Linked DNA regions of Saccharomyces cerevisiae S288C. The protein of the gene in region 2 binds, or shares a complex with, the protein of the main gene of each other region. Each region holds a gene or a part of one and is shown on either strand. Other genes may lie near its edges. A codon is read from its position in the direction of its gene.

Region 1 (3,017 bases), on a different chromosome or scaffold from region 2:
CATGTCCAGGAGAGCATAAGCCTGGCCCAAACCAAACCATGCTTTGAAGTCTCGAGGGCATATATCTACGGCCCGACGATAGCATTCTATTGCGGCATGTGAATTGCTTAGTTCAACAAATTCGTGACCCATCAAAGTCCATGCGTTTGTTGTTTTTTTATCCAAAGTTAGTGCTCGACGGAAATACATGATAGATTTTTCATGTTCCTGTCGGGCACTGTAATAGTTCGCTATGATACAACATGTTTCCGGTCTAAATCTATCTATTTGGGAGACGAATTGCGCCAAATAGGCTAATTTTGAATTCTTCTGCATGACGTATAGAATATTGGAGTAGGTTTCCAAATCGTTGAGACGGTACGGATCTTGTTTAACGATGTCATCAAATCGGCTTTCTGCGGTAACATAATCCAAATTGTTGTAACTAATAGTAGCATTGTAAGCCTTTAAAAAAGTGAAATTGGGGAAAACTTGTAACAAAAACTCTAAATCTTCAAAGTAGTCCTCTAACTGGCCATTAAGCTCCTCAAACACTTTTAGCTTGAAAAATTTGATCATTATATTAAATTCTATCGTTCGTTGACTACCAAGATTTTCAGAAAATTTGAATTGGAAATTTTGATATAGATAATTATTTAAAAGCAATGCATCGTCAACCTTTTGTAAACAGTCCATTAACTCCAGCCAGCAGGACCAGTTAAAGGAGTAGCAACTCAGAGATTTCAAGAATGACGACATTGCCTTAGAAATATTCTTCTCTTGCTTTAAGATGACCCCTCGTAAATAATACAACAGTGCTAACCCTAAATCGGCCTCATCATCGTCTATCTTTATTTCATAAGACTCCAGAAATGTGTTAATTTCCTTCAAAATAGATGATATGTTCGATTGTGACTCATGCTCATTGCTGACCATTTTTAAATTGGCGCGTTGGTGCCCACTTTGATTTATATCCTCATTCCCACTACCATCCCCATCTTTGTTAGCTCTGTACATTTCGTCCGTAAACTTCCCTGTAGTTAAGATATTTTCCATACTTTCCTGGCTTTTCTTATCCCACGATAGAAATTTACTGTATAATTTTAAGAACTTAAGGTATGGATTAGTGACATCTTTTAGAAAAAAAACGCATCGATCAAACTCTTTAGCATCAAACAACGTAGAACCAAGGAGGTACAGGTCATACTCAGTCTCTGATAGGCCAAACCCGTTTTGTGGTATTTCAAACATCTGTTTCGGTACACCTTGTTTATTTCTTAGTGGCGATTCATCGGCTAAAGAGTGTGTTTGATCAACATCAATAGCTTCTGCAAGACCTGCTAGCGCCTCTGCTGCCCACTTTGAGGAGCCGTATAGCTTCCATCGTGATAATTCTGTGGCAGCCTTTCGTAGCTGAATACGTATATCATGTATTATTTTATCCTGGCTGTCGTCATTCATGGTTCTAAATGCTTCACAATCTGATTCTGATCAGTATATATCCAGATTTCAGTTTTCCGCTCGCTAATACTCCCTTCTTCCTCTTAATTTGATGTGAGTACCGCAGTACTTGGTCTGCTATTATGAAGTGTTTGTTTTACCCGAAGTGCTTTTTATGTACGCGCATTGAAAAATAATAGAAACTTGGTAAGTAGAATACTTAAGAAGCTGCAGAAGTGCAGTATCTTACAGTAAGAAACAACAGCGACTAGTTTATCAGGTTTACACTGCTCAAGTTATCAAGTTCATAGCATGACAAAGGAAGAAGGTCGTACGTATTTTGAATCTCTCTGCGAGGAGGAACAAAGTTTGCAGGAAAGCCAAACCCACTTATTAAATATTTTAGATATATTATCAGTATTGGCAGACCCTAGATCATCTGATGATCTGCTTACTGAATCCCTCAAGAAGTTGCCTGATTTACACAGGGAGCTGATAAATAGTTCCATCCGCCTGCGATACGATAAATATCAAACAAGAGAAGCACAGCTTTTGGAGGATACAAAAACTGGAAGGGACGTTGCAGCGGGAGTACAGAATCCTAAGAGTATTAGCGAGTACTATTCTACTTTCGAACATTTGAATAGGGATACTTTAAGGTACATAAATTTACTGAAGCGACTTTCTGTTGATTTAGCAAAGCAGGTGGAAGTGTCTGATCCATCAGTGACAGTGTATGAAATGGATAAATGGGTTCCATCTGAGAAACTTCAGGGTATTCTCGAGCAGTACTGTGCGCCTGATACTGATATACGTGGTGTAGACGCTCAAATCAAGAACTATCTAGATCAGATCAAAATGGCACGTGCCAAATTTGGTTTAGAGAATAAGTATTCCTTAAAGGAAAGACTCTCTACTTTGACAAAGGAACTAAACCATTGGCGAAAAGAATGGGACGATATAGAAATGCTTATGTTCGGTGATGATGCACATTCTATGAAAAAAATGATCCAGAAGATAGATTCATTAAAGTCTGAAATAAATGCTCCATCGGAAAGCTATCCTGTAGATAAAGAAGGTGACATAGTTTTAGAATAAGCACATTTTATTTAACCAGCCTGCACAAGTTAGATAGAGTTATACATACTTGTTGAGTGGGAGGGAAGAAAGAGAAAAATTGTATTATTTTTTAAAGAGCTTTTTAATATTTTATTTGTTCTATCTATTATTTTCACTTCCCCGAAATAGTACTGAAGGAAAAAACATGCTGGTTTATTTAGCGTTTAATAGGATGTGTACGTACTGAGAATATCATCAAGAATCAGTCCTCGGCCAGAGCATCTAGATATGTCGATAGCTTGGTCTAGCGTTTTCAAAAGAGAATTACGGCTTGAAAGATTTTTACCAAGAGTATATTCGACGAAAGTTCCTGATAATGCACCAAGAGCGGCTGACAATGAACAATGGCTAGAAACCCTAAGACCTATAACTCACCCAGAACAGAAAAAGTCCGACCATGATGTCAGTTACACAAGACACATTAATGTTCCTCTGGGCGAAGTCACTTCTGTCAACTATCTACAACGGTATAATAAGCA
Region 2 (5,736 bases):
CCAGTGTCCTCATTAGTGAGTTCCAATGTATAGTTAGTAGTGGTATTTTGATATATGTGAGTGGTAGCAGATTTGAACTTAGTTAGTTGTATTCGCCTTTGAGGAAACCAAGCAAAAAACCGATCTAGACTAATCATGGCTGTTGGTAAGAATAAGAGACTATCCAGAGGTAAGAAGGGTTTGAAGAAGAAGGTCGTTGACCCATTTACCAGAAAGGAATGGTTCGATATTAAAGCCCCATCCACTTTTGAAAACAGAAATGTTGGTAAGACTTTAGTTAACAAGTCCACTGGTTTGAAGAATGCTTCCGATGCTTTGAAGGGTAGAGTTGTCGAAGTTTGTTTGGCTGACTTGCAAGGTTCTGAAGACCATTCTTTCAGAAAGGTCAAGTTGAGAGTCGATGAAGTTCAAGGTAAGAACTTGTTGACCAACTTCCACGGTATGGACTTCACTACCGACAAATTGAGATCAATGGTCAGAAAATGGCAAACTTTGATCGAAGCTAATGTTACCGTTAAGACTTCCGATGATTACGTTTTGAGAATCTTTGCTATTGCCTTCACCAGAAAGCAAGCTAACCAAGTTAAGAGACACTCTTACGCTCAATCTTCCCACATCAGAGCTATCAGAAAAGTTATTTCTGAAATCTTGACCAGAGAAGTTCAAAACTCTACTTTGGCTCAATTGACCTCCAAATTGATTCCAGAAGTTATCAACAAGGAAATCGAAAATGCTACCAAGGACATCTTCCCACTACAAAACATCCACGTTAGAAAGGTTAAGTTATTGAAACAACCAAAGTTCGACGTTGGTGCTTTGATGGCTTTGCATGGTGAAGGTTCCGGTGAAGAAAAGGGTAAGAAGGTTTCTGGTTTCAAGGATGAAGTCTTGGAAACTGTGTAAACAAAATAAATATAAATTATAAGATTTGACATGTACACAATTTATTAATATGTTTTCTCTTTATTATTAATATAATTAATTATTACTAAAAAAAAGAAGGTGACGCACCATACAGAACTTGCTCTTTTGTCCAATACTGTCTTTTTATGGTTGTTATTTTTTACGTTACCGATTTCGGTTTCTATTGAACTGTAATAACTTGCCTATGTGTCTATATGCCTTTTCTATTTAGTAAGAGCTATGCATTATACGTGGTCATTTTACTTCTTCAACAGAGGAAGACGCACTAAAATCGCTTGTAGTGCCTCCAAGTTTCCTGCTTGAGTGATCGCTATCTGCCTCCTCTGCGTCATTAACCGCATCTGGCTCTTCTATCACTCCAGTTTCTTTGTCTGTTTCCTCATTATTACCCTGGCGACTATTATCTTCTTGTTGACTGCTTTCCCCATCAACTTCATTATCCTCTTTTATATCCTCAACGTCTACTTCCATATCATCTTCCTCTTCATTTTCTTCATCCTCCTGATCGTCATATTCATGATCGCTTTCCTCTTTTTCGTCCACATTTTCTATAGTATTCACTTCCACCATTGATCTCTGCCTTTTAAACCTCTCTTTTCTTTCCTCATCTTCATCCGATTCATAATCTTCATCAATGTTATCTCCTTCTGCCTCATTGAGCAGGCCATCTCTCTTCAGAAGTTCTTCTTTGAATATTGATGTGATCTTGCCAAATATTTCTGCATCTCTTAGCCACTTCTCTTTGTAAGACGATACCTCCTGCCTTACGTTTTCTATATCCGATTTCATTGAGGCGTTGATACTTTCTAACTCTTTTGGGCCCTTAGAGAAATCGTCATAAATACGATATCTCTCCTCTGAACTATCCTTTTTCAGGCCCGGATCAACTAGTTTGAGATAATTCTTTTCAATTAAAAACTTGACCAGATCAGTGCCAAGTTCTTTCTCCCATTCCGCACGTGTCACCACAAGGCTGGTACGGCCTTCTGACAAGCCTTCCACCTCTCTGTTAATTACTTGGACAGAATCGTAAAGACCTTGTAGTTTTCCAATACGTAAAAGCAACTTGCTATGGATGCTCTTTATATCAGGCAATTTATCTTTGAGATTTTCCAGCTTGGCCAATGTCTCCTGTTGGCATGTTTCCCAATTTTCGTCTGCTACTTTCTTTGTGTCAATTGATGACTGCAGATCCAAAAATCGAAGATGAGCACTTTCTTTTAGTTGGGAGATATTTTGCTCAGTAAGTTTTTCAATCTTGCTATCATCATTGGATAATGTGCCATTTATAATGCTTCCTGTCAGCTTGGTTACTTTTCCTAAGATGTCTAAATATTTATTGAATGGAGTATCTACTTCACTGTAGTGCACTTTGGTTCTAACTTGGTCTATTTGTTTTTGTGACAGAGGCATTGTGAGTTAGTCTCCTTTGGCTTTAGTTCTTTGATTCCTTTTTTACAGCCAGTTGTTGTATTTTACTTTAATTTAGATAATGTTTCACTTTTTTCTATCGAAGGAGGTTCACCAAAATAATAGAATGAACAAAGCGCAAGAAAGAAAGATAAAAAGGTGTCAAAGAACCAATATCAAAATAAATACAGATAAAACCGCGGAACTATGTATCTCGGCCTTGATTATTATAGCAGTTTGTATTCTATATAACTATGTGTATTAATATGTACTTATTCTAAGATGTGGTCTTCGGTATCCTGACCACGAGGTTCGTCGGAAACCAATGAATGAACTTGATTACTATTAGACTCTTTTTTCAACTGAAATCTCTTCCTACTGTGTCTTTGCAACATCGCTGCGATACCATTATTAGATTGTGTGGTCGCTGATATGGGTGCTGGAGAATTTGACTTTGACTTGGATTTAGCCTTATATTTAGGGCCTGGTGCGTAGTCTAACTTCCTTTTTTTCACTTGCTCATCTGCCTCAAGTTGCTTATAGGCACTTTCGGCTGAAGATAAAGTAAGATAAAAATCAATTACCTTTTGATGTGCTTTGATCCTAGTTCTGTCAAAATTTAACACCTGTAGTCCTTCTCTTGAAACAGCTCTAGAAAGGGCAACGTACGCCTGACCCTTTTCGAATACTCTACGTAAATCCACTTTAACTTTTGGAAGTGTCTGACCCTGAGATTTGTGAATGGATAGTGACCAGGCAAGCATTAGCGGTAATTGAACCCTTGATACCAGTGGCTTTTCATTTTCGTCTTCTATCGCCCAATCCTCCGGCTCGACAAGCACCATCCTCGTACTCATATCAGAAGCTTTGAATCTCACGAGAGGTAACCTTCGTTTTCCTGCAGAGTTTTGATGTATGGTCTGCATCAGTTGTTCCTTGCGTTTTATATTTTCCAGCACAACTTCGTCATCTGTCTTGACTCTCTTCATGAAGTCAAAAACTGAGGAATCTAGGGGAGAGACCGGCTCACCTATATCACTCTTAGCAAATCCCTCCTTCACTGAAGATTTGCGACTAGCTACCGCACTTTCTTCCCCATCACTTTGCTCCCTCTCCATTGCAGCTTTTAGTTTTGAAGGGTTTTCTGCCCAAGTCTCGAGTTTTTCTGGAGGCATAGATGGATCGTTTGTTAGCGCCTCATAGCAAAAATATGTTTCTGGATCCATGAATTCGATGACTTTACCAAGGGATCCATTAACTAATGTTGCGTCTAGATTTTTTACCATCATAACCTGAGCGCCAACTTTCAAATGTAATTCCTTTGGAGCTAAAAAATTTTGTAACAGCCTTTCCTTTAACTCTTCGTCTTCCAAAGCACCGCCATCGATTGCATTAAAAATATGCACCTGGCCTGGCAATTTACTTAGCCTTGAATTATTGGCCCTTTCTACTTCCATTCTGGTACTATAAAGTTCCGCGGGAATAATTTCATCGTCTGGCAATGGTCTAGAAAGCTTCTTGAACTCTCTTTCTGTTTCATCATCAATATTGCCTAGTCTCATCCGATTCAACATGTCAATGAACTTAACATCGCCTCGCTGTCTAAAAACCTTTTGTAGCATAATCGTCATCTTTACACCTTCTTTCCAAGCCTTGGATTCGAAAGCAAACTTAGTTGGTCTATTAGGATCTTTTGATACTGGCGGTAACTGGAAAAAATCGCCACAGAAGATGAGTTGAATTCCACCGAAGGGTTGATGATTTTTCCGTATTTTTCTAGCTATGAAATCGAGTTTATCAAGCAGTTCTGCGTCTAACATTGATATTTCATCGACAACCAAAGCACCAATATTTTCCCAGCGCCTTAGGTGCTTTCGAGACCTACGAACTTTTTTATAGAGTTTATCCGCATCACCTTTTCCTAATCCTATACCAGCGAACGAGTGTATGGTTATACCACCGATATTACAAGCAGCTAAACCCGTGGAAGCAGTGACTGCAACATTCTCCCTACCATATATGCCTTTTAAAACTTTTATCATTTCACGTAAAAGAATGGATTTACCGGTACCGGCACTCCCTGTATAAAAAATGTTGTGGCCATTTTCTGCCAACTTGATGATACTTTCTTGTTCTTTGCTTAAGCAAATCGGTATCTTGACTTTCACACCATTATGGGGATTCAAGTTACTGTCATCTTGGTCATTCTGCAATTCAGTGAAGCTAGGTCTTTGCGTCAAAACAGCAATCTTTTCTCCAAATTGCATTTTCTTCTTTTCGTTTTCATTTATCATTTCCAAACTTCTCTCTTGAGATATAGAATTATTTTGAAGTTCATCAAAAGAACTTTCCTTTTTCAACGCTGGTCTTAATGGATTCTTGAATCCTGTCGATCTCGATTTTTTTTGACTGCTCTGGTCAAATGAGTTTTCAGAAATTAACTGCGGTGGTTGTATTATACTGGGTTTAAACATATCGTTCCAGGATAAAGGACTGTCTTTATTGATAAAATTCATGACATTTTTATCCCTCATAGGCTTTTTGTCCACCGGGTCTTCTTTATGTATGTCAGTGATAATTTTCTTTTCTTGCTTCTCAGTTTCTAACTGTATGCAATCAGGTTCTTCCCAATCATCCGAATCAGAGAGCAAATCTAGGTCTTCTTTTGAAAGTATGGAAGGATGCTTCAATTGTGCTTGAATAAAGTTATTAGACCTGAAACCACGACTACTCATAGAAAACGATAGTTTGGCGTGCGATACGTTTTTGAGTAAAAGAAAACTGTTGAAACTACAGATAAATGGCCTTCTTGGTATAATATGATTCAATGTTGATCTTATCCACTTTGGCATGTAAAATTGATTGATACAAGTAAGCTAATCGCTCAATGGATAATATTACAAATAAAAATATCGAGGCAATACCAGTATTTCAATGTCTGGCCAAATAAATAGTTTAGTACAGCAATTTGATTAACGTTAAAGTTACTCTCCTCTTTGAATAATGTCGTGGTTAAAAAGTAAAGTATTTGTTTATACATTAAGTGAAGAAAATTAAGACGCGCCTTTCTTAATGTAACGCCAAAAATTTTTAAGAGATGAGCTGAACAGCATCACAAAACTACTATTTCCAGCGGAAGAAGGCATTTGAAGCGTCCTGATTCATAATTGCGATTTTATTTATCAACCAGATGTCTTATAAATTCGGCAAACTTGCCATTAATAAAAGTGAGCTATGTCTAGCAAATGTGCTACAGGCTGGCCAATCCTTTCGATGGATTTGGGATGAAAAGTTAAACCAGTACAGCACTACAATGAAGATAGGCCAGCAAGAAAAGTATTCAGTAGTGATTTTGAGGCAAGATGAAGAGAATGAGATCCTGGAATTTGTTGCTGTCGGCGA

Evidence for each region. Proteins that work in one complex are often made in the same cells at the same time.
Region 1: the proteins of MFT1 (region 2) and THP2 are in contact, whole or in part, in a cryo-EM structure (PDB 7V2W), measured with the Saccharomyces cerevisiae proteins. Residues at the interface, in NP_013649.1 of Saccharomyces cerevisiae: His16 (codon at 2,292), Tyr17 (codon at 2,289), Ser18 (codon at 2,286), Glu19 (codon at 2,283), Asp21 (codon at 2,277), Phe24 (codon at 2,268), Asn25 (codon at 2,265), Tyr27 (codon at 2,259), Leu28 (codon at 2,256), Ile30 (codon at 2,250), Leu31 (codon at 2,247), Val34 (codon at 2,238), Thr35 (codon at 2,235), Leu37 (codon at 2,229), Thr38 (codon at 2,226), Gly39 (codon at 2,223), Ile41 (codon at 2,217), Ile42 (codon at 2,214), Leu56 (codon at 2,172), Thr57 (codon at 2,169), Glu58 (codon at 2,166), Ile61 (codon at 2,157), Leu64 (codon at 2,148), Lys65 (codon at 2,145), Ala68 (codon at 2,136), His69 (codon at 2,133), Phe72 (codon at 2,124), Leu75 (codon at 2,115), Gln76 (codon at 2,112), Ile79 (codon at 2,103); in NP_012037.1 of Saccharomyces cerevisiae: Tyr9 (codon at 1,756), Phe10 (codon at 1,759), Leu13 (codon at 1,768), Cys14 (codon at 1,771), Glu16 (codon at 1,777), Glu17 (codon at 1,780), Leu20 (codon at 1,789), Gln21 (codon at 1,792), Ser23 (codon at 1,798), Gln24 (codon at 1,801), Leu27 (codon at 1,810), Leu28 (codon at 1,813), Ile30 (codon at 1,819), Leu31 (codon at 1,822), Leu34 (codon at 1,831), Ser35 (codon at 1,834), Leu37 (codon at 1,840), Ala38 (codon at 1,843), Asp39 (codon at 1,846), Leu54 (codon at 1,891), Pro55 (codon at 1,894), His58 (codon at 1,903), Leu61 (codon at 1,912), Ser65 (codon at 1,924), Leu68 (codon at 1,933), Arg69 (codon at 1,936), Lys72 (codon at 1,945), Arg76 (codon at 1,957), Glu77 (codon at 1,960), Leu80 (codon at 1,969).

Annotation. Positions count from the first base shown.
Region 1 is NC_001140.6:437,611-440,627, forward strand, and holds THP2 (Thp2p), read left to right. Parts: upstream 1-1,731; coding exon 1,732-2,517; downstream 2,518-3,017. Other genes in the region: anaphase promoting complex subunit CDC23, read right to left, coding at 1-1,440; putative GTPase MTG2, read left to right, coding at 2,767-3,017. UniProt on the Saccharomyces cerevisiae protein: Component the THO subcomplex of the TREX complex, which operates in coupling transcription elongation to mRNA export. The THO complex is recruited to transcribed genes and moves along the gene with the elongating polymerase during transcription.
Region 2 is NC_001145.3:146,347-152,082, forward strand, and holds MFT1 (Mft1p), read right to left. Parts: upstream 2,338-5,736; coding exon 1,159-2,337; downstream 1-1,158. Other genes in the region: 40S ribosomal protein eS1 RPS1B, read left to right, coding at 136-903; DNA helicase PIF1, read right to left, coding at 2,607-5,186; 8-oxoguanine glycosylase OGG1, read left to right, coding at 5,525-5,736. UniProt on the Saccharomyces cerevisiae protein: Component the THO subcomplex of the TREX complex, which operates in coupling transcription elongation to mRNA export. The THO complex is recruited to transcribed genes and moves along the gene with the elongating polymerase during transcription.